Linked DNA regions of Elephas maximus indicus. The protein of the gene in region 1 interacts with the protein of each later gene in a biochemical or structural test. Links are inferred from orthologs where the notes say so. Each region holds a gene or a part of one and is shown in the gene's direction. Other genes may lie near its edges. The genes, in order: DLG3, NET1 and CYSLTR2.

What was found.
Region 2: the proteins of DLG3 (region 1) and NET1 interact in a test that uses a peptide from one of them, tested with the Homo sapiens proteins (2 studies listed by IntAct, with this or other methods). The link is inferred for Elephas maximus indicus from reciprocal best matches to the Homo sapiens genes DLG3 and NET1.
Region 3: the proteins of DLG3 (region 1) and CYSLTR2 interact in a test that uses a peptide from one of them, tested with the Homo sapiens proteins (2 studies listed by IntAct, with this or other methods). The link is inferred for Elephas maximus indicus from reciprocal best matches to the Homo sapiens genes DLG3 and CYSLTR2.

Annotation. Positions count from the first base shown.
Region 1 is NC_064846.1:99,501,155-99,511,297, reverse strand, and holds the start of DLG3 (disks large homolog 3), read left to right. Parts: upstream 1-3,893; 5' UTR 3,894-3,905; coding exon 3,906-4,262; intron 4,263-7,596; coding exon 7,597-7,647; intron 7,648-8,062; coding exon 8,063-8,187; intron 8,188-8,415; coding exon 8,416-8,585; intron 8,586-8,883; coding exon 8,884-9,020; intron 9,021-9,346; coding exon 9,347-9,491; intron 9,492-10,069; coding exon 10,070-10,143. UniProt on the Homo sapiens protein: Required for learning most likely through its role in synaptic plasticity following NMDA receptor signaling.
Region 2 is NC_064822.1:53,566,266-53,576,408, reverse strand, and holds the start of NET1 (neuroepithelial cell-transforming gene 1 protein), read left to right. Parts: upstream 1-4,835; 5' UTR 4,836-5,009; coding exon 5,010-5,102; intron 5,103-10,143. Other genes in the region: neuroepithelial cell-transforming gene 1 protein-like, read left to right, coding at 2,402-2,422, 3,038-3,112. UniProt on the Homo sapiens protein: Acts as a guanine nucleotide exchange factor (GEF) for RhoA GTPase. May be involved in activation of the SAPK/JNK pathway Stimulates genotoxic stress-induced RHOB activity in breast cancer cells leading to their cell death.
Region 3 is NC_064832.1:30,342,113-30,352,255, reverse strand, and holds the start of CYSLTR2 (cysteinyl leukotriene receptor 2), read left to right. Parts: upstream 1-4,601; 5' UTR 4,602-4,659; intron 4,660-5,253; 5' UTR 5,254-5,361; intron 5,362-10,143. UniProt on the Homo sapiens protein: Receptor for cysteinyl leukotrienes. The response is mediated via a G-protein that activates a phosphatidylinositol-calcium second messenger system.

The DNA of each region.
Region 1 (10,143 bases):
TTAAAGGTCTGACTGAGCCTGGAGGGACCTCGGAGGTCATGGTCCACAGACTTTCTTTTAGCCCAAGACTGGAACCATTCCCAAAGCCAACTCTTCAGACAGGGATTGGACTGGACTGTAAGGTAGAAAATAATACTGGTGAGGAGTGAGCTTCTTGGCTCAAGCGGACACATAAGACTATGTGGGCAGCTCCTGTCTCGAGGTAAGATGAGAAGGCACAGGGGGACAGAAGCTGGCTGAATGGACACAGGGAATACAGGGTGGAGAGAAGGAGTGTACTGTCTCATGGGGGGAGAGGAACTAGGAGTATGTAGCAAGGTATATATAAATTTTTCTATGAGAGACTGACTTGATTTGTAAACTTTCACTTAAAGCACACTAAAAAAAAGAAATAATGACTAAAATTTTCCACGTTTGGCAAAAAACATCAACCTATAAAATGAAGAACCTGAGTGAAACTCAAAGAGGTTAAACTCAAAGAAATCCACCCAAAATATATCAGAGTCAAACTTCTGAAAACTAAAGACAAAACAAAACAGAAAATCTTGCAAGCAATGAGAAATGACTCTTCATCCATAGGTGTAGAATAATTTTTATGGCAGTGGATTTCTCATCAAAAATCACGGAGGTCAGAAGAACGGGGCAGGACATACTTCAAGTGCTGAAAAAAAGTAACTGTCAGCCCCAGATGCTATATCTGGTGAAAACGTCCTTTAGAAATGAAAGGGAAATCAAGAATTCTCAGACTAAGGAAAACTAAGAGAATTTCATCGCCAGCAGAACCATCCTGAAAGAAGGGCTAAAAGAAGTTCTCAGAACAAAGGGAATGATAAAAGAAGGAATCTTGAAACATCAGAAAGGAAAAAAGATCAACAGAATGAGCAAAAATATGGATAAATACAATAGACTTTCCTTTTCCTCTTGAGTTGTCTAAATTACCTTTATGGTTGAAGCAAAAAGTATAACATCATCTGATATAGATCTCAATGTTTGTAGAGAAAATATTTATCACAACCATATTAAAAATGGGAGAGGTTAAAAAAAACTTCAAGGAAGTTAAGGTTCCCACATTCAACCTGGTAAATGTCTAAACTAATAAATTTTGTGGTGAAATTGTTTTGTATCTTGATTGCAGTGGTTGCTAAAAGAATCTCCACGTGATTAAATGGCATAAAACTGTACACACATTGTACCCATGTCAATTTTCTGGTTTTGATATTTTATTATAATTAAGTAATATTTAATCTTTAGGGGAAACTGGGTGAAAGGTACATGGGATCTCTTTGTACTCTCTTTGCAACTTCCTGTAAATTTATAATTATTTCAAAATAAAAAAAGTTTTAAAAGATTATCGGGACTACTCTAGATTAAAAGAGATTAAAGAAACAAATGCAGTGTGAGAACCTTAATTGGGTTCTGATTTTTAAAGATATGAAAGGCAAATTTTGGGAAATGCTAATATAGACTGGACATTAAAACAAAAACAAAAACAAACCCATTGCAGTCAAGTCGATTCCGACTCATTGTGGCCCTGTAAGGCAGAGTAGAACTGCCCCACAGGGTTTCCACGGAGCGCTGGTGGATTTGAGCTGTCGACCTTTTGGTTAGCAGCTGAGCTCTTTAACCATTATGCCACCAGGGTTTCCAGACTGGACACTAAAAAAAAAAAAAAAAAATTTTTTTTTTTTTTTTTTTTTTTTTTTTTTATGAAATTTTCTTAGGCGTCATCATGATATTGTGATTATTTGGGAAAATGTCTTTATTCTTAAGAGATGCATTTAGGGGTGAAGAGTAATGAAGTCTGTAATTTACTTTAAAGTGGTTCAGAAAAAGTGTTTATGTATCTATCTATACAGACAGACACGCCGAGAGAAAACACAAATATAACTAAACGTTACCAATTGTTGACTCTATGAGGAGGGTATACGGATGTTCATTACAGTATTCTTTCAACTTTTCTGTATGTTTGTAAATGTACATTTAAAAATTTTTGGAAAGGATATGTGGAAGATAGGTAGGTGATAAAGCAAATACAGTAAAATGTTAATTGTAGAATCTAGTTGATAGATAATTGAGTGTTCACTGTAAAATGTATTTTTCTCTGTGTTTGAAAATTTTCACATTAAAATGTTGATGTTAAAAACTTGAAGGAAAAATATCATAACCCAGTGTCCTCCCCTAGCACTCCCAGTCCCCCTTACTCTGCTCTACTTTTTCTTTTTTTGTAGCACTTATCACCATCTATACTATATAACTCACTTATTTATTGTACTTCTTTTTGTCTGTCTCCTCTCACTGGAATGTAAGCTCCAGCGGGCAGGGATTTTGTCTGTTTTGCTCTGTTTGCTGCTATATCCCCAGCTCCTTAAATACTGTCTGGCACATAGCAGGCGCTCGATAATCAAAGAATCTCTGTATCTTTTGTACCTAGGTCAAGGTCGAATGTTTGTTCAATTGAACTGAGATCCAAGTTCTGCAGAAGAACTTAGAATAGATCTATTATACTAGAGTGGTTCAGATCATGGCCTCTGGACTCAAATGACCAGGATTTGAATTTTGATTCTGTCACTTTCTAGCTAGGTTAACCTCCCTGAGCCTCAATTTCTCATTGGTAAGATTAAGATAATAACAGTACCACCTTGGTAGACTTTTTGTTTGCCATTAAGCACTTAGGACTTTACAAACACTCAATAATTGGTAGCTAAAGACAAAACAACAAAAAGATAGAGCCCCCAGCATGTCATCCTTCCTCCATCCCCCAACAGGCTAAGCCAGGAGAGGCTGAGGAGATGTCCTTGGACGGGTATTCCCAAGTTCTCCAGACCCACGGACTTGTTTCTCTCCTTTCAGAGGTCTTCTTACCTTTCCTCCTGTCTTGGATTCTCTTTCTTCTTGGGATCCTGAAACTCTTTCTCCCACCATAACCATATGGGGGTGGGGTAGAGGAGATAGGAGCCTGTGGGCCAGGGACAAGGCTTACTGCTTTCCTTTCCTCTCTTATCTAGAGCTGAGTCCCTGACTGATGATGGAAGAAGGTCAAGTGTGAGATCCTGGTCATTTCAGGGCCCAGGGGCTGAGAGAACAATAGTCCTGAGGAGGAGGCATTGGCAAGAGTGCTAGCCTTGTATGCTGCCCTCTTGCTTGGTCTGCTGTAAGAGAGAGCAGCACCTCCTTCACCCTGCTCCAACGTCCTTTCAGTCTGTCCTGCTGCCTCAAGTCTTTACTTCTAGTGGCCCCAACTCAGAGCAAGCCCGGGGACCCATTGAACTCTTTCTTGGAAGTGGGGTGGAGTGGAGTGGGAGGAAGACGGGCTGAAATCGGGGTGTAGGGGCAGGTATTGAGGGCTGAACTAACCCATGGTCTAAGCCCCCCGCCCCCACCCGAAGATGGACGGTACTCCCAAGATCCGGGGAGCTGGAGCTGAGCCTGGGGGCGCCACCGCTTCTGTTCCTTTAAGGAGCCGCTGTTTAGCATTCCTGCCGCCGCTGCTGCCGCTGCCTGACTCTACGCCCTGATTGGCTGGAATCAACTGAGAAGAGAGCCAGGGAGAGATGCTCTAGACTCCACTCCGATCCATCCTGGGGACCAGAGCAGAAGCAGTCCTCGCACATCCAGCCTCTACCCCGGCTCCCGCTTCTTCTTCTTCTTCTCCGCTGGGCCTCAGCCCAGGAGCCACCACGGGCGACACGGAGCCACCAGTGCTGGAGGGGGAGCCGTGGGTGCGGGGCAGCGTGGGGGCAGAGGCCCCGGGACGCCCGCCCGGCCCCAGGCCCCGCTCCGCCCGGGCGCCCCCACGGGTGCCCCCCCCTCCCTGGTCCGAGCAGTGCGAGTGTGCCCGGGAGCCTGGCAGCGGCGGCGTGGAAGCCAGCGTGGGTTGGGGAGTCCGAGCCGCGGGGGGCAGTGCCATGCACAAGCACCAGCACTGCTGTAAGTGCCCCGAGTGCTACGAGGTGACCCGCCTGGCCGCCCTGCGGCGCCTCGAGCCTCCTGGCTATGGAGACTGGCAGGTGCCAGACCCCTACGGTCCAGGTGGGGGCAATGGGGCCAGCGCAGGTTATGGGGGCTACAGCTCCCAGACCCTGCCCTCGCAGGCGGGGGCCACCCCCACCCCCCGCACCAAGGCCAAGCTCATCCCCACTGGCCGAGATGTGGGGCCAGTGCCCCCCAAGCCAGCCCCAGGCAAGAGCACCCCCAAACTCAACGGCAGCGGCCCCAGCTGGTGGCCTGAGTGCACCTGCACCAACCGGGACTGGTATGAACAGGTATGGACCAGCGGTGTAGGGGGACGGAAGGGCAACCTATGAGGGTTGGAGAGTGGGGGCCTAGAGGCCTAGGGTGCAGCAGAGGGAGCTGGGGCTCCAAGCCCGTGGACCCTGAGCCCTAGCATTGCAGCTGGGCAAAGAGAGGCAGTTGGAAACGTATGGTTCTCTGTGTGTCTGCTGGGGGGGGGGTCTCCATTTGGAGGGGATTGGGAGGAGCTGTGTGTCAGGGAGTGGAGATATGGCGGAGGGGCAAATTTTCCCGTGTGGGGGAATTGGGTTTGTCTTAGTGCGGGGGTTCAGCAGTGTCTCTGTGTCTGGCAGGGGGCGGGAGGTTCTGCGGGGGCTGTGTGTGGTGTGTGTCTCCATAGGAGGGGAGGAGGGGGCATGGTGCTCTGCATAGAGGGAACATGTGTGTGTGTGTGTGTGTGTGTGTGTGTGTTGGGATGTGTGGAGGAAGGCAACGGAGCCTCTGTGAAGGTATGTAGAGGAGCCCATGTGCCTGGCTCGCTGAGCTGCATCCCTTGGTGCCATGAGTCCCTCTCCCTCCCAGTCCCTTTGTGTGTGAATGTGCACATGGACGTGTGGGACGCCTCTCTGGATGTGGAGGTGTCTCTGTAGATAAGGCTGAGGGAATAGCTGTGTTTGCCTATGTGTGTTGGTATATGTATATGTGTGAGCATGTGGCTACAAATGTGTGCATGCATGTGCCTCTGTGTGTGTGTGTGGTGTCCCTGGTGAGAGGCACTTGACAGGCAAGGAAGGGGAGGAGGAGGAGGAGGCAAGAGGCACGTCCCAAGAAAGGCTGAGGGGCTGCTGAGAAGGACAGACTCTTTTGTCCAAGCAGCTCTGAAGTGTGTGTGTGCTGGGGGGGGGGGGGGGTGGGGACTGAAGCAAGCTTTCTTGCTCCAGACTAGGCATGGTGCCTGGAGCCAGGCAAGGGGCAGCTGCCCTGGTGCAGGGACTGGACCCAGTGGGACATGTCCCCCTTGGATACTCCCAGATGTGAGAGAGCTTGGCACCCCAGCCCCGATTTGGCACAGTTTGGGAGACCCCTGGATGCCGGGCACAACTCCGGCTTCCACTCTCAGCCTAAACTGCCAGCTTAGAAAATGGAAGGAGCATCTGTGGGAGAAGCAGCAAAATGGAGGCTGGGCCGGCAGAGCCAGGTCCCTGGCATGCATGGCGGAGGGCCTGTCTGGTTATCTGGCTCTGCAGCCCCCAGGGTGGGGAGAAAGAAGAAGGAGGTTTCGCTATCGAGTGCAGTGGCTGACTGCCCCAAGCTGGTGGCCATTCTGGCTGCCCTCCATCCTCCTCTGGAGATAGGATGTGCACTTGCTCAAAAGCAAAGGGGAGGGGGGAATTCCTGGGGAAAGGAGCCCTCAGTTCTGGCCTTCTGTCTGTCCACACTTTCCGCTTCCTATGTCCCTTGTCTTAGACCCTTGCCTTCTCCAGTGAGTCTCTCTCCCTCCTTTGCCCCTCTGCCCTGGAGCCCTCCCCTTGCGAACACCCTCTCATATTTGTCCTGCCCAGCCAGGGAACGAGTTCCAGTCCCAGGGCTGGGTCAGTTGGTCAAGGTTTTTTTGCCAGGGCTGATCCCTGGATGGCGCCTGGTCCTGGGAGCAGAGTCTCTGAGTGTGGTGGGAAGAACTGGAGGGTGGGCCAGTGGGAGGTGGGAGCCTTTGGGTCCCACATGAGCTGGGCTCGAGGCATGGCTTGTCAGATGTGGGTACATACAAGAGCCACACGAGTGTCCTTTGGCCTGTGTGTCTGTCTGCATGGTTGTGGGTCTCTGAAGGGTCATCAGTTCTTCCTCCTGGAATCAGAGACCAGGGTGGGATTGCAGCTGGAGTCCTCCCACCAATTCCCAGGGCAGGGCATAAAGTCCTGGGGCCAGGCCCAGAAACAGTGGAGACATGACTAGCCAGCACTCTCCCCCTCTCATGATCTCTGCTTCTTAAAGCCAAAGCTGTGTGGGGTAGAGGTGGGAGAGAGAAAACACATTGGGGCAGACAGAGGAGCCACTGCCCACTCTTTCCAGTTCTCCTTTCTGAGGAAGATGCTGGGGGTGGGGGGGGGGGCAGGCAAAGGCCAGTGCGGGCAGAGATGGGAGGAGAGGGTGCTGGGACACCTGGGGAAAGAGGCAAGAGGGCTGCTAGTCATGCCTCTTCCATTCTTGAGGATGAGAGTTGGAGCCAGGAAGCAGGTGTTATTTCTCTGTCCAGAATCACATTTTCACTTGATAAATGGTCACATGTGTGTACTGTCTGGGAGGCCACCTCTGTGGGTTGATCAGACCAACCCATTGTTTTCCACCCCTTTCCTTTGCCTCTCTTCCCATGGCTACTGCATGTTGAAGGCCACAGAGTCTGCTCCAGTCAGTCTGTGGACCATCAGCTTCTCCCTCATGGAGAATTTTGTTCGCTCTGCCCCTGTACCTCCCCTGGTTTTGCTTCTGACTCCTGACCAGATCCTGCCCTGGCCCTTTCTGTTGGGAGACATGAAGGGTTCAGGATCAAAATCCCCTTGGTAGAAAATGGATTAGGACTTTAACTCCTTCTGCCCATATGAGGAATTGGGCTCCTGGGGACAAAGAAAGAGGTATAGAATGAGGGGTTATGAGATGCTTTGAAGGAGGCCACTTTCTGATTTCCCACGAGCTCTGCTGGGGGAAGGGGTGTGTGACCAAAAAATCAGTAGCTTTGGCAGCCTGCTTTAATCAAAAGGGCACCTGGAGATCAGGGTTCTTGCTGCAGCTCTACCACTGATTCCCAGTGTGCCCTTAGACATATCCCATGTCCTCTCGGGGCCTCAGTGTCACCATCTGTAATAACTAGGGGAGCTGAAACAAGATGGTATCTGCTGCTCTTCCATCTCTGACATGGTAGGAGTCTATGATCCCCAAGTCAGGGAGAGCTGTGGTTCAGAAGGGGAGGGAGGGTCCCTGTCCAGGTCACTGGGTGTCTCCTGTGGATGCTGCGTATGGCATGGTCCGACCACCATGCTCCATCTCTGCTATCCCTCTCAGGCCATCCCTGCACCCCTCCTAGTGAACTCAGAGGCCCTAGAGCCGAGCCTCTTGATGAGTGCACAACTGGCCAGCTCAGTCCCAGGCAATTGATCTGGGCTACACAAGCAGCCGGGTTTGGCCTGACATGGCTGGAAGCAAGGGGAGAGGAGTGTCTTCCTCGGGGTCAGCCTGTTCCTATCTGTGACCAAGAGGTGCTCTGGGGTGGATTTCAGTTTTTCTGCTGGGAGTGGGGTGGGGGGAAGGCAGGTTGGCCAGGGGGCAGGAAGGTCAGGAAGCACTCAGGGAACTGCCTGTGTTTTCCCCTAGGTGAATGGCAGTGATAGCATGTTCAAGTATGAGGAGATAGTACTCGAGCGGGTAAGTCTGCCGGTAGGAAGGAGACAGGAGGGAAGGGAGGGTGCGAGCCAGGAGAGGGGAGGGCCCTGAACCTTGGCTTTAAGACTCATGGCAGGACCTGCATTGAGCGGATGGAGAAACAGCGGCCCTCAGAGGCTGCATCACTGCATGAATCAATCTACTAACAAATATTGATTGACCTTGCTCACTGAGGCCTGGGGAACTGGGGATGGAATGGGGTTTGCTGAGGCCTCCATGCCAAAATGGACAGCACAGGCTGGGAAGCCACCAGGTTTGTGACAAATCTGACCCTCCCTGCCATGGCCCTTCTGAGGCCTGGAGAACCTCCCCTAGGAGGTTGGGGAAGATGGGTGCCAGAAATTCTCCTTTATGCCCTCTGAGTGAATAGACTGTGCCCCTCCACCCATTTCTGCAGGGCAACTCCGGCCTGGGCTTCAGTATCGCGGGTGGCATCGACAACCCCCATGTCCCAGATGACCCTGGCATCTTCATTACCAAGATCATCCCTGGTGGAGCAGCTGCCATGGACGGGAGGCTGGGGTGAGGTGGCCTGGAAGCAGGGTGGGGGCGGCAGGGACAGGATGAAGATGAGGGGAGGAGGGCCCGACTGGTAGATGACCCTTCCATCAGATCTGGGAGGGGGAGGGGCAGTGGGAGGTGCAGGAGAGAGGAGGAAGGGGAGGGAGAGAGGAGAAGAGGAGGGGAGAAGGCGGGAGAGGGGGTGGAGTGGCGGTGGCATAGTGTTGTGCCTCTCGGCTTCCCCTGCAGGGTGAATGACTGTGTGCTTCGGGTGAATGAGGTGGACGTGTCAGAGGTGGTGCACAGCCGAGCCGTGGAGGCACTGAAGGAGGCAGGCCCTGTGGTGCGGTTGGTGGTGCGGAGGCGACAGCCCCCACCAGAGACCATCATGGAGGTCAACCTGCTCAAAGGGCCCAAAGGTGCGGCTGTCTGGGTTCCTGTGCTCTGACCAGAGCTCCTAGCCCTGGGTCCTGGCTGGCTGGCCATGTAGGAATTAGAAGGGAATGGCCTTACTCCTTGCCTGATTCCCCTTTTCAACTCACAGCCTTCTTTCTTCGCCTCAGGTCTCACCCTTACTGGCCTAATGTTTGGGACCCCTGAGGGAGTTCCTGTGAGGCCAATGAGTTGGCTGGGGGGGGGGGGGTTGGACTTGGGATTGAATGAGCACTCTAATCTCTCCTTGTGACCCCTTCCTACTCCCTGCTGGCTCCCACCTAGGCCTGGGTTTCAGCATTGCTGGGGGGATTGGCAACCAGCACATCCCAGGAGACAACAGCATCTACATCACCAAGATCATTGAGGGGGGTGCTGCCCAGAAGGATGGACGCCTGCAGATTGGGGACCGGCTGCTGGCGGTAAGACAGCCTTCATCAGGATGCCCAAACGGTAGGGTGAGGAGGTGAAGCTCCAATACCCTCTTACTCCACGTAAACTTCACTCAGGGACCAGGCATCATGAGGAGTTTCAAGAGCATCGTCTGAGTTATGTTTACCTAGACACCAAGACCCTAGTTCTTTCCATGGCTGGGGGGACCCTCTACCTCCTGCCTCTCTGGTCCTTACAGCACTATACTTGGACTTCCGGTAGCACTATTGAATTTCACTGAAAGGCCATCCTTCAGGGTTCCCTGGAGAGGCCCTTCCTTCTCCCAAGGCTGGCCCTAAGGCTTCCCATCTTCTAGGTGAACAACACCAATCTGCAGGATGTGAGGCATGAGGAAGCTGTGGCCTCACTGAAAAACACATCAGATATGGTCTATCTGAAGGTGGCCAAGCCAGGCAGCCTGCACCTCAACGACATGTACGCACCCCCAGACTACGCCAGCAGTATGTACCATCCAGCTCTGTCCCTGGCCTGAAGCCCCTGCCCCCCGGTTTTTGGTGGTGAAGAAGTTCATACCCCTTGTTAAGACGGAGCAGAGGACTAGTGCTCAGAAAAAACTGAGTCCAAATCCCAGCTCTGTCCCATAGAGCCTGGTGACCTTGGACAAGTCCCTTTCGCCTGGCTTCATTTTCCACTTTGGCAAAAAGGAGCTAATGATATATGTCCTGCCTTCCTTGTAGGACTGCTACAAGGATCAAATGAGATCATGGACAAGAAGGCTCTTCTAAAACTGTATTAGGCTATAGAGATGTGAGGGATTATTATTAGTCACACCTCTAGTCATGTCTTTCTTTGTAGACTGCCTTGACTTCAGCTCTTTCTAAGACTCACAAGAGTGCGACAAGAATTCAGAAAGGGACCATGGAGGAGGAAACATGGGGGGTGGGTGGAATGGGGAGGAGAGGCCTGAGGAATTGGCATCCCTTGGTCTCTTTTGGACTTGAGGTGAGACATGGGGGAAAGTCCTTGGTAGACCGCCTGGAGCAGTCTCTGAACTTTTTTCTCCTTTTCTTGATTCTAGCTTTTACTGCCTTGGCTGACAACCACATAAGCCATAATTCCAGCCTGGGTTATCTCGGGGCTGTGGAGAGCAAG
Region 2 (10,143 bases), on another chromosome or scaffold:
TATAGTTAGACCACAAACCTGAACATACAAAATGAAACTAAGATTTTAGTGTTAATGATTTGGGATTTTTGTGACTATCATCTCTAGACCCTATTGGGCTCATGTAGTGTCTATTTTTATATAAAATGATTTCTACCTTTACCTCCTGGGTCCTCAGCTAAAGGAGAGAAATGAAAACTATCCCTTCCCCTCATTATCTTGACTTACTTCTATGATAACTAAATGGAAAAATAATAGTTTTGAGAAAGACATGGGGTAAGAGACCCGTATGACGCCCATAACAGCTTTTTCTCTAATTCTCATTGCACATAGTCCTTTATTCGTGAAACTAAATGACCATAAGTACTGGCCTTACTTGCATCATTTTTTAAGTGATTAAAGTAACTGAACCAAACTACTGGGTTCTATCCCAGGCTCTTCCTATTAGCTCTGAGAATTTAGGTGGATTAGTTTTCTTGCCTATAAAATTAGGGAACTGGATCCCACAGGAAACCCTGGTGGTGTAGTGGTTAAGTGCTACGGCTATTAACCAAAAAGTGGACAGTTCGAATCCGCCAGGCGCTCCTTGGAAACTGTACAGGGCAGTTCTACTCTGTCCTATAGGGTCGCTATGAGTCGGAATTGACTCGACGGCGGTGGGTTTGTTTTGTTTGGGGATCCCATGATCTACAAGGTGCTTCTACTTCAGTGCTACATAAAAATACCTTCTACAATCAGCCACAATCATACATGCTGCCCAGATGTGGCCAGGTAATAGAGGATAGATGATAAAATATAACCAATACCCATTACTTAAAAAAAAGGAGAAACAAAAACAATGAACACCTCAAACCAGACTGATGAATTACCATGACCTTGTATACAAAGCACATTGGTGGCTACAGAAGAGCAGCACTGGTCCTTCTTAAAAGAAGTAACACTGTCCTACAGACCTTAATAAATCTCTATATAGATTATTTGTCTTTATAAATAGTCAGTACCTATTATTTCTTACTCTGCCCTATTCATTCTTCAACCCCTGCAATTTACTTTGTTTATTCCACTGAACTTCCACACTTGAGGTCACTGTTAAACTTGTGATCACTAAATTCATGAATTTTTCCTTACCCTCCTTAACCTATTTTCAATAATTAACACCTTTTCTTCCCTTGGATTCTTGCTTTCTCTCCTTGTAATTGTTAATTCTTTTCTCTTGACATTTATCTTAGTTATCTAGTACTGCTAGAAATACCACAAGTGGATAGCTTTAACAAACAGAATTTTATTCACTCACAGTTTAGGAGGCTAGAAGTCCGAATTCAGGGCGCCACCTCTAGGGAAAGGCTCTCTCTCTGTCAGCTCTGGTGGAAAGTCCTTGCGTCCTTTCATCATTTGTGGGCCCAGCATTCCTTGGAGAACCTATGTGTCTTGGCATCAATATTCCCCTGGGTCTAGGAAGTTCAGCACAGGGTCCCCAGGTCCAAAGGACATGCTCCACTCCCAGCCCTTCTTTCTTGGTGATAATAGGTCCCTCTCTCTCTGCTCACTTCTCTCTCCTTTTGTCTCTTATAACATAAAAGGTGATGCAGGCCACACCCCAGGGAAACTGCCCTTACATGGATCAGGGCTATGACCTGAGTAAGGGTGTTGCATCCAACCCTAATCCTCATTAACGTGACATAATTGAGGAATCATGGAACGAGGAATATCATTGCTGATGTCAGATAGGTCTTGGCTGAAAGCAGAGAATACCAGAAAGATGTTTACCTGTGTTTTATTGACTACGCAAAGGCATTTGACTGTGTGAATCATGACAGGTTATGGATAACACTGCAAAGAATGGAATTCCAAGACATTTAATTGTGCTCATCAGAAACCTGTACATAGACCAAGAGGCAGTTGTTTGAACAGAACAAGGGGATACTCCGTGGTTTAAAATCAGGAAAGGTGTGTGTCACGGTTGTACCCTTTCACCAAATTTATTCAATCTGTGTGCTGAACATATAATCTGTGAAGCTGGACTATATGAAGAACACAACATCAGAATTGGAGGAAAACTCATTAACAACCTGCAACATGCAGATGACACAAACTTCTTGCTAAAAGCAAAGAGGACTTGAAGCACTTACTGATGAAGATCAAAGACTACAGCCTTCAGTATGAATTGCACCTAAACATAAAACAAAAATCCTCACAACTAGACCAATAAGCAACATCCTGATAAACAGGGAAAATACTGAATTTGTCAAGGATTTCATTTTTCTTGGTTCCACAATCAACGCCCATGGAGCAGCAGTCAGGAAACCAAATGACATGTTCCATTAGGCAAATCTGCTCCAAAAGACCTCTCTAAAGTGTCAAAAAGCAAAGGTGTTATTTTGAGGTCTATCATGCGCCTAACCCAAATCCATGGTCTTTTCAGCTACTTCATATGCATGTGAAAGCTGGACAGTGAATAAGGATGACCGAAGAAGAATTGATGCCTTTGAATACTGCAAAGAATACTGAATGGACTGCCAGAAGAATGAACAAATCTGTCTTGGAGAAAGTACAGCCAGAATGTTCCTTAGAAGCAAGATGGCGAGACTTCATCTCACATACTTTGGACATGTTGTCAGGAGGGACCAGTCCCTAGAGAAGGACATCATGCTTGGTGAAGTAGAGGGTCATCAAAAAAGAGTAAGATCCTCATCGAGATCAATTGACACAGTGGCTGCAACAATGAGCTCAAGTATAACAATGATTTTGAGGATGGCACAGTGTTTCGTTCTGTTGTACATAGGGTTGCTATGAATCGGAAGCAACTCAACGGCACCTAACAACAACAATCCTGCCTCATTAACATGATGGACAGCTTATTCCCAAATGGACCATAACCATAGGCATAGAGACTAGGATTTTCAACACATCACAAAATGAATGATAATGAGATCACAAAATAGGACAAGCACACAATACTGGGGATCATAGCCTAGCCAAGCTGATATATTTTAGGGGGATGCAATTCAGTCCATGAGACCATTCATCCAAAATTAGGTCTCTTGCTCTTTTTGTCCAGATTTTCTCTCCCAGGCATCTCCTTCATCCCCAAGGCTTCAACTCTCACTACTATGTGGCTGACTCTTCAGCCTAACTCTACCTCTCTTCTGCCTAAATCTGCCTGTCTTCCAAGTCCCTGTCCAACATTTCTAACATCTAGGTGAGTATTTTCATTTGTCTGTTCTTCCATCACCTCAGACTCAAGTATATCTAAAATGAAACAATTTTCTTTCAAAACTTGTTCTTATTATTTTCATAAACAGTTGCCCCTCCCATCTTAAAATCTTCAGCTTCTTTGACTTCTTGCATATATTGTCTCTTGCATGTATCCTTTTCCTTCCTGATGTCCTACCTTAGGTAAAGTTCTTGATACCTGATTATGATTTTTGCATTGCTGCCAATCATCTTTCAGACCACCTCAAACACTAGTCATATGTCTCTTCTTTCAGCATGACTTTCGTTACCTCTCTCACCTGCTCACTAAGACCTACTCCTTTTTAAGCACAGCCCATTACCTCACAGTTTGAGTTTACTCACTCAATCTACTTTGGAGCCTTGCGCTTTTCCCTTGCTGAAAAGCTGTCTTGTATTAGTTATATCTTCATGTGGCCTATCCACAATGGTATTAGCACTTAGGATCAGATATAAAACCTTTTATATATATATATATGTCAACCACAGTATCTAGAACAGTGTCTTTTTCGTAGATTTCTCCAATCCTAAGAATAGAAGTAAAATCATTTTTTGTGAAACACTGGCATCAGGTCATTCATAGTAATATACAGTTAAGTTAAAATCTTACCTTTCAAAATAGAATACAGTACTTTGTGTTAAAGAAGAAAATCTGCTTCATAGCAGACCTACCAGAGCAACAGAAATCATGTTGTTCCATAGAGAAACGGATTCAGACTAGAAATGTGGAAACTGTCACTAGTATATGACTTTGGGCAGGTAACTTCTCTGTGAGGCTCATTTCTTCCTGTGTAAAATGCAAGATAGTTTAAGTAAGTCTTTTGATTTCTATTAGGAATTTATCAAGATTGGTTAGTTCAGAATAAAGACCTCTGTTATATATTTTTAGAACAAATCACCTTTTATGTATTTTTATAACATCTAGTATACAGATATCAAATTTTAAAAACATACAGAAAAAATACCTACTATTAAGTCTAAGAAATACTGAACTTTATCCTCCAAAGTAACCCAGTTATGCTTTGCCCATAACCCTATGGGAGATTTACTTCAAGAATAGAGTAAACTTTATTTACCCTGCTGGTCTTACGAAAAAATAGTGGGAACCATTTTCTAAGGGCAGGCAATTTTACAGTTGTGAATATGTTTGCAACTTATGTAAAATAAAAGCAAGTTGCCTGGGTAATTAGGTTTTTCTTTAGCCTATACAGTTATTTAACTCTGAATTCCTACTTTCTTGCTTGAAGTTGTCAATTGTGCATAATAAATTTCTTCCTAGGTGAAAGGGTTTTTATGGGAAAAGTATCCCTGCCTGTGACTAAAACTAGATGAGATAACCTAAACAAGCAATTAGTTCTCCATTGGGAATGCTTTCTAAATCAGGAAGAAAAGCTTCTGCCTTACATTAACCCAACTTCCTTTTCCCTTCTCCTCTTATTTTCTTACTATAGAAATTCCAAACCTATCGATAAAGAGCTTTCTCTTCCACAGCGAAAACGGAGAAGCCTAGGTGTGCCACAGCTGTCAGTTAACTCGCGTCACGTGACCCCCTAGGTGCACGCCCACTAAGGCTAGTTCGCTGTTTTGGCCCCGCCTACAGAGCCTTGAGGTCTGTGTGCTTTTACCCCAGCTCTCAGAAGCTGTTAGTTCCACCACAAGGAAGAGACATGGGCAAATGGCTGCCAAGGGTGGGTGAGGACTCAAAAGAAAAGCCTGTGTGACTCAGTAGTGATCCGAGTCAGCAGAGCTGACGCGGATGTGGATCACTTGTAAAGATTTTAAGGAATACTCGGTAAAGCATGGTGGCGCATGATGAGATTGGAGGTCTCCTACCTATTAAAAGAACTATTCGAGTCCTAGATGTTAATAATCAGTCCTTCAGAGAACAAGAGGTAAGACTTTAAAATAAAAATTAGGCAAAAGGAATGTTTTCTAACTCCATGAAACTTTTAAGATTTTTAACAATTTATTAACAGTATAATTTTAAACTTTTGATCTAACAATTTAAGTATGGTTACTGAGTGTTAATATGTATGACTTTGATTATATCCAAGTTTGAGAAGTGTGCTTAGGAATTGTGGTATAGGTTTATTACATGGTATAGCTTGAGTGTACAGAAACTTCTATGCGAAAGGAAAAAGATTTTAAGTATATAAGCTGCTCAGTTTGGTTAAATTGGTCACTTTTCTGATGTTCTATATATATATATTTTTTAAAGTATATATATATATATATTTTTTTATCGTATTTGCTTAGCCTTAGGAACTGCTTTATGGGGTAAGAAGAAAAATAAGAATCCCTTCCTTGTAAGTTCATGCTAGTGGATAAATTGCAACTAAAGTGCTATCTGACCTGGTGTGGGTTTTTGCTTTTTCTTTCCACATCTATTAAGTTCATTGTGTGCTGCTTTTGTTTTCTTCAGAAAGAAAGATACGTTAAAACATTTAAGCACATGATCATTATTTAAATACTTTGAAGTCATTATAGTTCTTAAAAATCTTGATGAACATTTATCAAAGTAAATCAAATGCTTTTTATACAATTTTAGGTAATCTTTACAGTTAATTTAATACTATACGGTATTGTATTAATTTATATACTGCAATGTATATTATGTGGTATATATCATCACTTATGTTAGAAACAGTGTTTCTGTATTCAGTCATCTATGTATCTATCTTGATTGTAGTGGTGGTTTGGTATATACCTACTCAAAACTTACCTAATCATACTTTAAATATGTGCAGTTTGTTGTATGTTAGTCATACCTGAATAAAACTGTTTATCATATATGTACAACATATACTTTTTGGTAGCTAAAGTAGCTGCCATGTTTAGGAGGTACGCTTTTACTTGGCGTGGTTTGGCTTTGGTTATTGTTTTGTTTTTTGCTTACTTAGGTTTTGGTTTTCTTGATGTGTCTATATTAAGCAAATCAAGTACGTGGTCATCAGTGTAAATACTGAACCTGATAATCATCTTTTGGCCCATCAAGAGGCAGTCTTTTTTGTTTGGTATTAGACATGGGCCATGTTTCTGGCACAGCTGTATTCAAAAGATTAAAAACACCAGAAATGTTGTCAGGTTTTTAGAACTGGTAACATAGCCTTAAAGAAATGACTTACTTGAATATTCCTATTACCCTTCTTACTAAGTAGAAAGGGAAGAAATCCTATCATAACTCATTTTTATTTTTTTAAAAATAGCCTTTATTTTCATTCTTCTTATTTTAAACTTCTTGCCAGGTACTAAGGAAAATTATTCATTTTGTAATCCAAAACAAATAAACTTAGACACGTACTGTCTTTTTTAAATGTCTTGATTTAATTGACTATAGAAAAACCTCCTAAAATAAGCCCTCTTAAGTGACATCATTATTAGAAGAAAAACCTTTTTACAAGATGCTGAAGTCATGGCAGAATTTTTTTGTGTTGTTGCATTGACATGAAGGGTACATTCCAATAAAAGATTTTACATTGATCCTAACAATTTACCGTATATAGATGTTCAAAAAATATTTTAAGGTATAAAATCTGAACAACAATTGGATTGTGTAATTAATTAGTTACCCGGTCTGAAGGCAGGATTTCTTATAATAATGTGTGTGATTGCCTAGCTAAACTAGATAGTCTGATTAAAAGTTAACCTAAATAATCAACATGAATTTGTTAAGGGTGTTGGGTTTATGCTTCCCTTCCAAGTAAACTTTAGCCCTGGTGAAAGGTTACCTACAGTAGAAAGTTTCTTGAGTATGCTGGTATTCTTTATTTTCAAAAACGTTCAGATTGTCCTTTAAGGAGAGGGTATAGTTTGAATATCCATAGCACTGTTTCCAGTGCTCCAAAATAAAAACAATAGAAACATTATATAATCTTTACTTTTGGTGGTGGTAGGACGGATATACCCCTGCTCTTTTATAACCTCTAACTATTGTACCTGCATTGTGTGTGTGTGTGTGTGTGTGTGTGTGTGCAGTTCTCTAAAAACAGTCTCTTAGAAATGTGTTTTGTGACAATGCAAATATTTAAGTTCTTAGTAACTAAAACAAGATAGTTAAAATAGTTCAGCTGGATTTCTGAAGAAAAACTATTTTTGGTTTTAGTTCACATGAACCAAATCCTACCCTGTATTTCAAAAGATTGGGAATTTTTATCCCAACCTTATAGGCAACCCGTGATTGCCTAATCTGTATCACTTTTCCACAAAAATTTTCTGTATAATTTTTTTTTCAGGTAGTATACATATCCTGAAATTTAGTAGTATACTGTGCTGTAATCCATATCCAGTACTATGCCTTTACATTTCCATCACACTTTTCAAGTTATTCATTAAAAGTGTTTATGCTTTTGAAATATTAACACTAACAGTTTGTATTGTTTCTGCCAAAAAATCTCCACATGTGCCATTTTAGTAAAGCAGGAAAGTTGCTATTGGATCACCAAAAGCAAGTTGGAAAAGTGGAAAGTCTTCCCCTTCCCCCACTGGTATTTCCTGATTTAATACCACACTTTCTTACCAAGCAAGACATTTTGAATTAGATGAACTTTTAAGAGTAACATATCCTTTCTGGAGAAATGAGATATGGGTGGGTTTTTAAAGGACTGTGGAAATATTTAACCACCAAATACTGCTTAGCATAATATCCTGCCACCCTAAAGAAACAACATAAACAAAATCCATATTAGTTTCAGAAACTTGCTTTGGATATATTTATATTTATTATCTCAACCCAAATTCTGTAGATTTCATTTTAAGTATCACATAATTTTGAGTTACCAAGAAATCAGTAATTATACAGTAACTGATCCAATAAAGATAAGAATTTTTTATCATTAATTTGATTTTATATAATAGATTTAAAAAAAAAAAAAAAACCCTTTCCTCCCAGCTGAACTAATTTTTCCTATCAAATTCACTGGGAGAGGCATCACTCCAAAGACTTTTAAACTGAAATTAAATATTTTGTGACTTACTGAGAAGTCAAATATGTTATGCTTTAAACCTTTGTTTCCAAAAAGAGGAACAGAACTTTCTGACAACTGCTTTGTTTGTAGTTAATGTTGGCATATCTTACCTTGTGAGGTAATTATATCTCCACTCAAACAAGACTGTTTGTACTGTCTTTACTAAATAGAAAGGAATGCCTTATGTTAGCCCTCCTGCACATGCATGTGTCACTTCAGTCTTGTACAGATGTATATTGTAAAGGCATTCACACATGTCCTTGGTCACCATGTGTGTCAGATTACTACATATTTTGAAGGTTTCTTTTTCAATTCATTTAATATTTGCACATTAAAAACTCGAAAACCAAACCTGTTGCCGTCAACTCCATTCCGACTCATGGGGACCCTATAGGACAGAGTAGAACTGCCCCATAGGGTTTCCAAGGAGCACCTGGTGGCTGACCTTTTGGTTAGCAGCCATAGCACTTAACCACTAGGCCACCAGGGTTTCCTTTTGCACATTGAAAACCCATTGCCGTCGAGTTGATTCCGACTCATAGCAACCCTATAGGACAGAATAGAACTGCCCGATAGAGTTTCCAAGGAGCGCCGCCATTAGTGGCTTTATATTCAGGGTTTTACTTCGGTGTTAATTGTCTTTTTTGTCGGGGAGGGATGTCTAAAATGCTGCCTGTTAAGGTATTCGGAGTTCTGAGTTCATTTTGATTATCTAGCAAGTCTCCTTACTTTAGTGGTTCATAATCCTTTCTAATATATACGTATATATTTAAGAGCTTTAATAAATCTAAGCTTTGCTACTTTGGCTATTTGAATCATTTTTTAAATTTCTTTCTTTCCAAAGACTTTTAACTCTTTCTGCCAGTTTATTCTTAAATTATTCCAGGGAAATCATTTGCACTCAGTTTTCTCATCAATCATTTAATGTCTAGTATTAAACATTTGATTATCTTTTATTTCCTTTAAAAAGTCAACTTTTTATGACTTTGACCATATCAAAGAATTTTTAGAAAAAAATTTTCTTCTATTATTTTTAAATGGTGATTTTTATATAATTTTAAAATATATACCCTTCTGAATTCTCATCAGAATTATTTCATCATGTATGCCACCATTGGAAACCCTGGTGGCATAGTGATTAAGAGCTATAGCTGTTAACCAAAAGGTCAGTAGTTGGAATTTACCAGGCACACCTTGGAAACCGAATGGGGCAGTTCTGCTCTGTCCTAAAGGGTTGCTACGAGTCAAAATCGACTAGACTGCAATGGGTTTTTTTATGCCATGATTATCAAAGGCACCAAATACAAACAGATAATACTCTGTAGACATTATAAAGGACAAATCTGTTTTATGATCTGGCATTTGTAAGTTTTGAGGTCCTTGAATAAGTGATATTTGCTATACTATTATTTTTAAAGCAATACATGTAGAATAATAACTTTCTTCAGAATTTGTGTATCTTTTTCCTTTAAAGTTAATAAATACATGAGAGAGGATCAAATTATGAATTCCAGTGTTTAAGTACTAGAAATATCCCTAAGAAAGAATGTAGTAATAGCTAACTGTGTGCCAAGCACTGTTCTGAGCCCTTTAAACATATCTCATTTAATCTTCACAACAACTTCACAAGGGAAGTTTGATTATTAACCCTCCATTTTACAGATGAGAAAACTGAGGCCCAGGGTACTGCCTAGCAAGTGCTACAACCAAGATTTGAGTCCAGGCAGTCTGATTCCAGAAACTGAGTGTTCTCTTAACCACTGTATTCTGCCTTTGCTTGAACACCTCCCATGACAGGGGTCTCACTGCCTGCAAATCGGCCCATTCGAATGTGAGACATCTTTATTTTAACCCATTCTCAAACTGAAGTATTTGAGAATGAAATGATACAGTGTCTGGGGTTTGCTCTAAAATATTCCAGTAGAGGCAGAGATGAAACAAATTGTTATGCCAAAAACTGTTGACGCTG
Region 3 (10,143 bases), on another chromosome or scaffold:
GCAGTGGTGCTTTGTAGTTTTCTTTGTTTAGGTCTTTTACAACTCTGGTTAGATTTATTCCTAAATATTTTATTTTTTTAAGGGGTTATTATAAATGGTATTGCTTTCCTGATTTCCTTTATTGGTGTGTAGGAATCCCACTGACTTTTGTGTTTGTCTTGTATCCTGCTACTCTGCTGAATCTTTCTATTAGTTCCAGTAGTTTTCTTGTGGAGTCCTTTGGGCTCTCTATGTCTAGTATCATATCATCCATGAATGGGGATAATTTTACTTCTTCCTTACCAATTTGGATGACCTTTATTTCTTTTTCTTGCCTTACTGCTCTAGCTAGAGCTTCCAGTACAATGTTAAATGGAAGTGGTGTTAAAGGGCATACTTGCCTTTTTCCTGTTCTCAGGGGGAATGTTTCCAGCCTCTTTCTGTTGAGAATGATATTAGCTGTTGGTTTTCTATAGATGCCGTTTATTATGTTGAGGAATTTCACTTCTATACCTATTTTATTGAGAGTTTTTATCACAAATGGGCGTTGAACTTTGTTGAATGCCTTTTCTGGGTCAATTGAGACGATCAGGTGATTCTCTTCTTTTGCTTTATTTATGTGGTGGATTGTGTCGATTGATTTTTTTATGTTGAGGCATCCTTGCATACCTGGTATGAATCCCACTTGGTTGTAGTGTATTATTTTTCTGATATGATGCTGAATTCTGTGGGTGAGAATTTTGAATCTATATTCATGACAGGTATTGGTCTTTTTTTTTGGATGGTGTCTTTGCTTGGCTTTGGTATAGGGTTATACTGGCTTCATAGAATGAATTTGGGAATATCTTTTCCTTTTCTATGTTCCGAAATAGTTTGAGTTGTGCTGGTATGAGCTCTTCTCTGAATGCTTAGTAAGATTCTCCAGTGAAGCTGTTTGGGCCAGGACTTTTTTTTCTGCTTTGCTTTTGGGAGTCTTTTTATTACCTCTTCTATTCTCTCTCTTGTTATAGGTCTGTTCAGATTTCCTATCTTGGTTTGTGTTAGTTTAGGTAGGTAGAGTGTTTCTAGAAAATTGACCATTTCCTCTTGGTTTTCAAATTTGTTGGAGTATAATTTTTCATGGTATTCTGTTATGATCCTTTTTATTTCAGTTGAGTCTGTTACCTTATTTCTTATTTGTTTTATTTGCTTCCTTTCCTGTTTTTCTTTTGTCAGTTCGGCCGATGGTTTTTTGATTTCGTTGATCTTTTGAAACAACCAATGTTTGGTATTGTTGGTTCTTTCTATTGTTTTTCTGTTCTCTATTTCATTTATTTCTGCTGTAATCTTTATTATTTCCTTTATTTTTGTGGCTGTGGACTTCTTTTTTCTGCTCTTTTTCTATTTGTTTGAATTGTAAGGCTAACACTTTGATTTTGGCCCATTCTTCTTTTTTTGATGTATGCATTTATTGGTATAAATTGAACTGTGAGCGTTGACTTTGCTGTGTCCCAAAGTTTTTGTATGATGTTTTTCATTTTCATTCATTCTAAGAACTTTTTGATTCCCTTTTTGATCTCTTCTATTACTCAGTTTTTTTTTAAGCAAGGTGTTATTCAGTTTTCATGTATTTGAGTTTTTTTTCCCTTGTTTTTCATGTTATTGATTTCTACTTTTACAGCATTGTGATCAGAGAGAATGCTTTGCATTATTTCAATGTTTTGGATTTTATTGAGCTTTGCTTTATGTCCTAAAATTTGGTCTATTCTGGGAAATGTTCCATGGGTGTTAGAAAAAGATGTATGCTTTGGAGCTGTTGGGTGGAGTGTTTTATATATATATATCTATGAGGTCAAGTTGGTTGATTTGTGGGTTTTCTTTTCTTTTTATACATTTTATGTGTACTGAGACTTTTTCTCCTTTTTCCTCTGATGAGTGGGTTTGTTAGGTCTCTTTATGGTTACCTTGAAATTTACCCTTACCTTCCTAAGTTTAAACAGTCTTTTATTACTTGATGTTGCCTTAATTTCTCCTCCATTTGAAAGTTCTGTACCTACACTGTTTATTTCCTCTTTTAGAGTTTTGACATTGTTGTCATTTACAGACTGGTGTCTGTGTTTCCTGTTTTAAGTCTATTAGCCTTGTTTTATTATTGAGAGTTCTTTACCTAGGTTAGTATCTGTCTGATGCTGTCCTGTGTGCTAGACCCCAGTTGTTGTTTGATGTTGTTGGTTCTCTAACCAAAGGTCTTCCTTTAATATGGTTTTAAAATTTGGTTTGGTTTTAATGAATTTCCTTAAATTCTGTTTATCTAGAAATGTCCTAATTACATCATTGCAATTGAGAGATTTTTGCAGGGTATATTATTCTTGTTTGCCATTTTTTTTTCTTTCTTTTCATATGTCATCCCATTGTCTCCTTGCCTGCATTGTTTCTGCCAAGTAATCAGAGCTTAGTCTTATTGTTTCCCCTTTGTAAGTGACTTTTCATTTTTCTCAAGCTGCTCTCAGAGTTCTTTCTTGGTCTTTGGTTTGGCAAATGTGAATATGATATGTCTTGGTGAGTTTCTTTTGGGATCTGTCTTAGGCTGGTTCTCTAGTAAGGCAAAACCAGTAAAGTATTTAATTATATAGAGAGATTTATATCAAGTAAATGGGTCACATGGTTGTGGAGGCTGTAATGTTCCTAGTCTGTGGGTTATGATGGAGGCTTCTCCTCATTCACATAGCCACAGGGCCTGGCAAACCCAAGATCGGCAGGTCAGAGAGCAGGGCTCTTGCTCACAGGCTGCAAAGACTGATGAATCCCAAGATCAGCAGGCAAAATGGCAAGTAAACTCCTGGCTTAAGTCCCAAGAATCTGAGGTCAGATGAGCAGGAGCCAGCTGAAAGATCCAGAGGAAGCAAAAGCCCATGAATCTTGCCAGAGTCCACCTATATTGGATGCAGGCTACACCCACAAGGAAACTCTCTTTTGACTGGCTATTCAAACAGATCCCATTGTTGATGTGATCACATTATATCATATCTCATCATGGAAGAGATCACATCATCATATGGCTTCCAAACTACATCATAACTGTCAAACCACTGAGAATCATGGCCCAGCCAAGTTGACACACGACCTTAACCATCACAGGGTCTATCCTATATGGAGTTCATTGAGCTTCTTGGATGGTCAGCTTTTCTTCTTTCATGATACTTGGGAAGTTTTCTGCCAGCAAATTTTCAACAATTTTCTCTATGTTTTTCATTTTATCCCCCTGTTCTGGAACTCTGATCACATGCAAATTTTTGCTCTTTGATTGTGTCCTTCATAATTCTTAGGTTTTCTTCATTCTTTTCTCTGATTTCTCCTCAAAGTAGCGTCCACGTATTTGTCTTCAGTCTTGCTGATTCTGTCTTCCATTGATTCAAATTTTCTCCTAAAACCTTCTACTGAGTTGTCAATTTCTGAAATGTTATCTTTGGATTTCTAGTTGCCGTTTTTGTATTATTTCTAATTCTTTATTCATTTTGAAGTTTTGTTCTTGAGTTTTTTTTCCTGAAGTCTTCTATTGTTTTGTGTTTTCCCTGATTTTGCCTGTTTTTTTTCCATGTTCTCCATGATTTTGTTTGTTTTTTCTTTGGTTTGGTCTGTGCTTTACTTCATCTCTTTCTTAATCTGTTGGAGAGCCCTAAATATTAGTCTTTTGCACTCCATATTAGGTAGTTCCATTCTTTGTCTTCCCTTGGTTGGTTATCTGTTTCTTTCTTTCTTTTTTTGCTGGAGCCACATTGCCCTGCTTTTTTATATGTTTTGGTATTGTCTGCTGCCTCCAAGACATCAAGGTACGGTTTTCTGTATTTATTGATTGTGTGTTTGTTTGTTTCATCCTGATCTTTGTTTTTGTTTTTTTTTATATGTCAGGGTGGGCTGGCCAGGCATGCTTTGCCAGTTGCTCATCATGGACACAATAACTGTCACCACCTTGTCTGGCTGGGCAGAGCACTAGCATGTATTGTGAGCCCACTTTGCTGTACACTTGTTTGGTGAGGTGCTGAGGGCAGACTGGGGGGTGCTGTCTACCCCTGGTGTTGGTCCAGCGATGTGAGAGCATTCACAGTCCTTTGCGAGAGAGGTGGGAGTGTCAGACAGGAACTCGTTCAGCAGCTGGTTGGGTGGCAAAATGGGAGGGGCAGTGTAAGTCCATTGCATTGGTGGGCCTGAGGCAAGCATGCTTTAGCCATGGCAGCACCACAAGGGCCAGTAAGAAGAGGGGGCTGGTGTATGGGGCTAAGTAAGGGAAATAAAGAAAAGAAAAAAAATGAAAGGGTAACTGGAGTGTGGGCTTGGGGTGTACCTGGGGCCAGTGGAAGTGGGAATGAAGCGTCTTACAGGGCTAGCTGGGAGAGAGAAAGAAAAAGAAGAAAGGAAAGAAAAAGAAGAAAGGAAAAAAAATGGCACAACAGGAATTGGTGGGTAGAGTTGGGGCGGACCTGGAGTGATGGCAGACTAGTAGCTCTCTAGCTGAGAGGCACAGCTTTGCCTGTTGGGAAGGGGTTGGGGTGGTGTAGGGGGCTAGGCAAGAGGGAGAAAGAAAGGGAAGAGAGAGAAAAATATTGCACAACAGTAGCTGGTGGGTGGGGTGGGGCAGACCCAGGGTGATGGCAGGCCAGTAGCTCTCTAACTGAGTGGCACAGCACTGCCCATCTGGAAGGGGTGAGGTTGGCATATGGGGCTAGGTGGGAGGGAGAAAGAAAGGGAAGAAAGGAAAAAATAATGGCACGACAAGAGCTATCAGGTGGGGGTGGGGTGGACCCAGATGATGGCAGGCCAGTAGCTCTCTAGCTGAGTGGCATGGTGTGGCCTGTCAGGAAGGGCTGGGGGTGGCATACAGGGCAGAAAGATGAGGAGTGGGAAAGCGTGTTTCTCTGGTTACTGGGTGCTCTGTCTCCTGTTGCGAGCTCTGTGGAGTTACCGTCCTGTACTTCCTGTCCAGGATCTTTGCTGGCTGTGCACCAAGATCTAGTTGTGCTGGACTCAGTCTGGTGGAGGCTGTGGTAGTTTTGGCCCATTAGTCCTTTGCACTAATCTCTCCTTTGTGTCTTTGGTTTTCTTCATTCTCCCATGCTCCTGACGGAGTAAGACCAGTGGAGTATCTTAGGTGGCTGCTCACAAGCTTTTAAGACCCCAAACGCTGCTCACCAAAGTAGAATGTGGAACATTTTCTTTATAAGTGTGTTATGCCAGTTGAGCGAAATGTCCCCCGAAACCATGGTTCCCAGCTCTCAGACCAGTAATTTCATCCCTCAGGGAGTCTGGATGTGTCTGTGGAGCTTCCATGACCTTGCCTTGGACAAGTTGTGCTGGCTTCCTAAACAGAATGCTTTTAATATTTCACCGATGAGTATGATGTTTGTGGTAAGTTTTTGATAATATCTTTTACCAGATTAAGGAAATTCCCTTCTGTTCCTAATAGCTTAAGTGTGCTTTTTGTTTGTATCAAAATCATGAATGTATGCTAAATTTTATTGAATGCTTTTTTGGTTATATATTGAGATAATCATGTATATCTAAAAATTTTCTTAATGTGTTAAATTAATAGGATTTCATGTCTTAAAACATCCTTACATTGTTGAAATAAACTCTAGTAAGTCACGATTTTTTTTACACATATTGCTGAATTCAGTTCCCTAATATTTTGCTTATGATAATTACATTCATGTTCATACCTAAGCTTGACATACAAATTTTTCTTCTTATACTTTCTCTCCTTTTTTAGTTGAGAAGTAATTCTTCTTTTTCTATTATCTGAAACAGTTTGTATGGGTAAAGAGTTATCTGCTCCTTACAGTTTTGGTAAAACTTGTTTCTACAGTCTTCTGAGCATAGTGCTTTCTTGGTGTGTAGATTTTTGGCTTCTGATTTAATTTCTATTACAGATATGGTTGGGTTTGACAGTCATTCATTACCAGCAGTAAGTCTCTACCAGTTATTTGCAGCAATTGTCTGTTCTCATTTTTTTGTCATTTGGATTTATCATTCCCCATCCCTATACCCATTGTGAATGTTTTTTAATATCCCTTCTGGACTCATCTTGAGTTACTTTAGATAATTTACATTTAACCAAAACCAAAAACTCTATTTGATCAACGTTTTAAAATGCATTATCATGAAATTATTCAAAATATTTAGTTAAAATTTTAACAATCTTGACAGTAAACCCTTTCATTCCTAATATGATTTATTTGTGGCTTCTCTTTTTCTTGATCACATTTGCCAGGAGTTTACTTAGACTTTATTTATGTTTACATAATTCTAATTGAGGAGGGGGTTGATTCTATTGTTTTTCTCTAAATTTTATTTTGAATAGTGCTGCAGTGAACATTGGGGTGCATGTATCTGTTCATGTTCTGCTTTCAGGTCTCTTGGGTATATATCTAGGAGTGGAATTTCTGGGTCATATGGTAGTTCTACATTTAACTTTTTGAGAAACCAGATATTTCACCAAAGTGGATTTTCAAAAGGCCAACAAGCACTTCAAAAAAATGTTCAACATCTAATGATTGTTGTTATTGTTAGGTGCCGTCTAGTCAGTTTCAATTCATAGCAACCCTGTGTACAATAGAATGAAACACTACCTGGTTTTGCACCATCCTCACAATCATTATTATGCTTGAGCCCATTGATGCATTAACCATTAGAGACATACTAAGGATGGCTAAGATAAAAGCAAAAACAAACAAAGAAGAATGGAAAATAACAGAGGTTAGCGAGGATGTGGAGAAATTCGAACCTTTATTCGTTGCTGGTGGGAACATAAAATGGTTCAGTTTGCTTTAAATTTTTTCCCTCATTATTCTTGTTATGATGCAGATTCACTAGGATGTATAAAAGAGGAATTTATATTTATTTTTTTGCTCCGAACTCATACGGAGAACTTATACTCAATCTGAGTATTCTTTCATCAATTCAGTTCTTTTAAGCTCTAAGGCCACAGTCTTTTTTACTCTCTAGCTTTTTGGTACACTATAGTCATACTTTATGGGAGACATGCAGTTATGGAGATTTTGCATTATTAAAAATTCATTTAAATCAAAACTAATCTTTGGAGGCGGAGCCAAGATGGCAGAAGAGACAGATGCTTCCATCGAGCCCTCTTTACAAAAAAGACTCAAAAAAACAAGCGAAACCAGTATATTTGTGACAAGCTGGGAACCCTGAGCATCAAAGGTAAGCTTAGACAGTGAACTGAGGGGCAGAGGGAGGAAGAGACCGATCAGAAGCAAAGAAGACTTACCAGACCTGAATCACAGGGAGCCCTCAGGCACCATTCCCAGAGTGGCGACTACAGCGGTGGCGGCGGGCTGGTCCTAGCGTTCAGCTGCAGTTTTCTCAGGGAGAAGCAGCCAGCCACACAGCCCACTCACACCCTCAGAGCCTGAGGAGAAGGGCGCTCTCGGCAAAAGCTAAGTACTTGCGTATATTTTACTGCACCCCCCACCCCCAACCCAGCTTCAGCGGCTGAATCCCTGGGCCTGAGATAGACTCTGGTGAGCACCTGGAGCCGTCCTCCTGGCCTTGGGGAAGGAAAAAATTTGCAACTGGGGGGAAAAGATAATTTGCTAGCTCCATTAACTGGGGGAGCTCAGGACAGAAGCAGCTCCTGTCCAGGCATAAACTGTCCATGGACCTTGAGCACCTTTCCCTTCTGCATGGACTGTGTGGGTCTATTTCGGGAGAATAGGCCCTTGATGGCAAACACCAACCATTTCAGCTGTGCAGTGGAGAGGTGGGTGTTTCACATTTGACATTGCTTTACCTATTAAACAAGGTTCTCAACTACTCACAACAGGGACCTGAGGACTGGTGGCTCCACGTGGGTTGCCTAGCCACCTGTGACAGGGGTCCAGGGATAACTGGTACCTCCCAGTCCTTACAACCAAAAACTTTGGGTGCCCATGGTCCCTCTGCAGAGACCATCCACCAGCACGCTCTAGGGAACAGAGACATGTTTCCTCAGAGACACTTGGGGGTCAGTTCTCAGCCCCCTGCCTTGTTCAGAGCGTGAGCCCCCGCTGCAATCAGATACTGGTATATACGCCAATCACCCCTGCCCCTCTAAGGCTGTATGACAGAGCTGGTACCACACACTTGACATCAGCTACCTGGAAACCTGAGCTGAATTCATACAAGAAAACTGAATGGACTCCTAGACTGATATACCTGATAACAGCTCTAGCCAGCTGGAGAAGGGAAACCAGCGCTCCAAAGGTGAAAATAATCAAGCTAGCTCACTGAAGCAACCCATAGGCGTATACCAAAACAAAACAAAGCAAGCAGCTACGAGACAGTAAGCAAGCATAAACTAATACAATAACTTATAGATGGATCAGAGACAACAGTCAATATCAAGTCACATAAAGAAAAAGGCCATGATCACCTCAACAGGCTCTCAAAACAAAGAATCCAGGAATCTTTTAGATGAAAGTGAATTCCTGGAATTACCAGATGCAGAATACAAAAGTTTAATATACAGAACCCTTTAAGACATCAGGAAGGAAATGAGGCAATATGCAGAACAAGCTAAGGAACACATAGATAAAGCAACTGAAGGAATCAGAAAGATTATTCAGGAACATAATGAAAAGTTTAATAAGCTGGAAAAACCCATAGACAGACAGCAATCAGAAACTCAGAATATTAAAAATAAAATTACAGAATTAGATAACTCAATAGAAAGTCAGAGAAGCAGAACTGAGCAAGTAGAAGGTAGCATTTCTGAACTCGAAGATAGATCACTTGGCACTAATATTTGAAGAAAAATCAGATTAAAGAATTAAAAAAAAAAAAATGAAGAAACCTTAAGAATCATGTGGGACTCTATGAAGAGAAATAACCTACGAGTGATTGGAGTACCAGAACAGGGAGGGATAACAGAAAATACAGAGAAAATTGCTGAGGATTTGTTGACAGAAAACTTCCCTGATATTGTGAAAGATGAGAAGATATCTATCCAAGATGCTCATCGAACTCCATATAAGGTAGACCTTAAAAGAAAGTCACCAAGATATATTATAATCAAGCTTGCCAAAAGCAAAGATAAGGAGACAATTATAAGAGCAGCGAGGGATAAAAGAAAAGTCACCTACAAGAGAGAGCCAATAAGAATAAGCTCAGACTACTCAGCAGAAACTATGCAGGCAAGAAGGCAATGGGATGACATATTTAAAAAACTGAAGGAAAAAAATTGCCTGCCAAGAATCGTATATCCAGTAAAACTGTCTCTTAAATATGAAGGTGAAATTAAGAAATTTCCAGATAAACACAAGTTGAGGGAATTTGTAAAAACCAAACCAAAACTACAAGAAATATTAAAGGGAGTTCCTTGGTTAGAAAACCAATAATATCAGGTATCAACCCAAGACTAGAACACTGGGAAGAGCAACCAGAAGTCAACCCAGATAGGGAAACCCCCCCCCAAAAAAAGCAAGATTTGAAAAAAAAAAGCCTAACACAGGGTAATGGCAATGTTATTACATAAAAGAAGACAACATCAAGACAATAAAGAGCAACTAAGAAAAGTAGTCATACACCTTCCATACGGAGAGGAAGATATGGCGATACAAAGAAATAAAAGTTAGTTATAAATTTAGAAAAATAGGGGTAAATAATAAGGTAACCACAAAGGAGACAAACTATCCTACTCATCAAAATAAAATACAAGGGAAAAATACAGACTCAGCAGAAACAAAATGAACAACAACAAATATGAGGAAAGGACAACACATAAAGAAAATCTACTCAGCACATAAAATCAAGTGGGAAAAAGAAGTTGTCAAACACAAAAAAAGACATCAAAATGATAGCACTAAATTCATACCTATCCATGATTACCCTGAAGGTAAATGGACTAAATGCGCCAATAAAGAGACAGAGAGTGGCAGAATGGATTAAAAAACAAGATCCGTCTATATGCTGCCTACAAGAGACACACCTTAGACTTAGAGACACAAACAAACTAAAACTCAAAGGATGGAAAAAAAATATATCAAGCAAACAACAATCAAAAAAGAGCAGGAGTGGCAATATTAATTTCTGACAAAATAGACTTTAAAGTTAAATCCATCAGAAAGGATAAGGAAGGACACTATATTATGATTAAAGGGACAATACTCCAAAAAGATATAACCATATTAAATA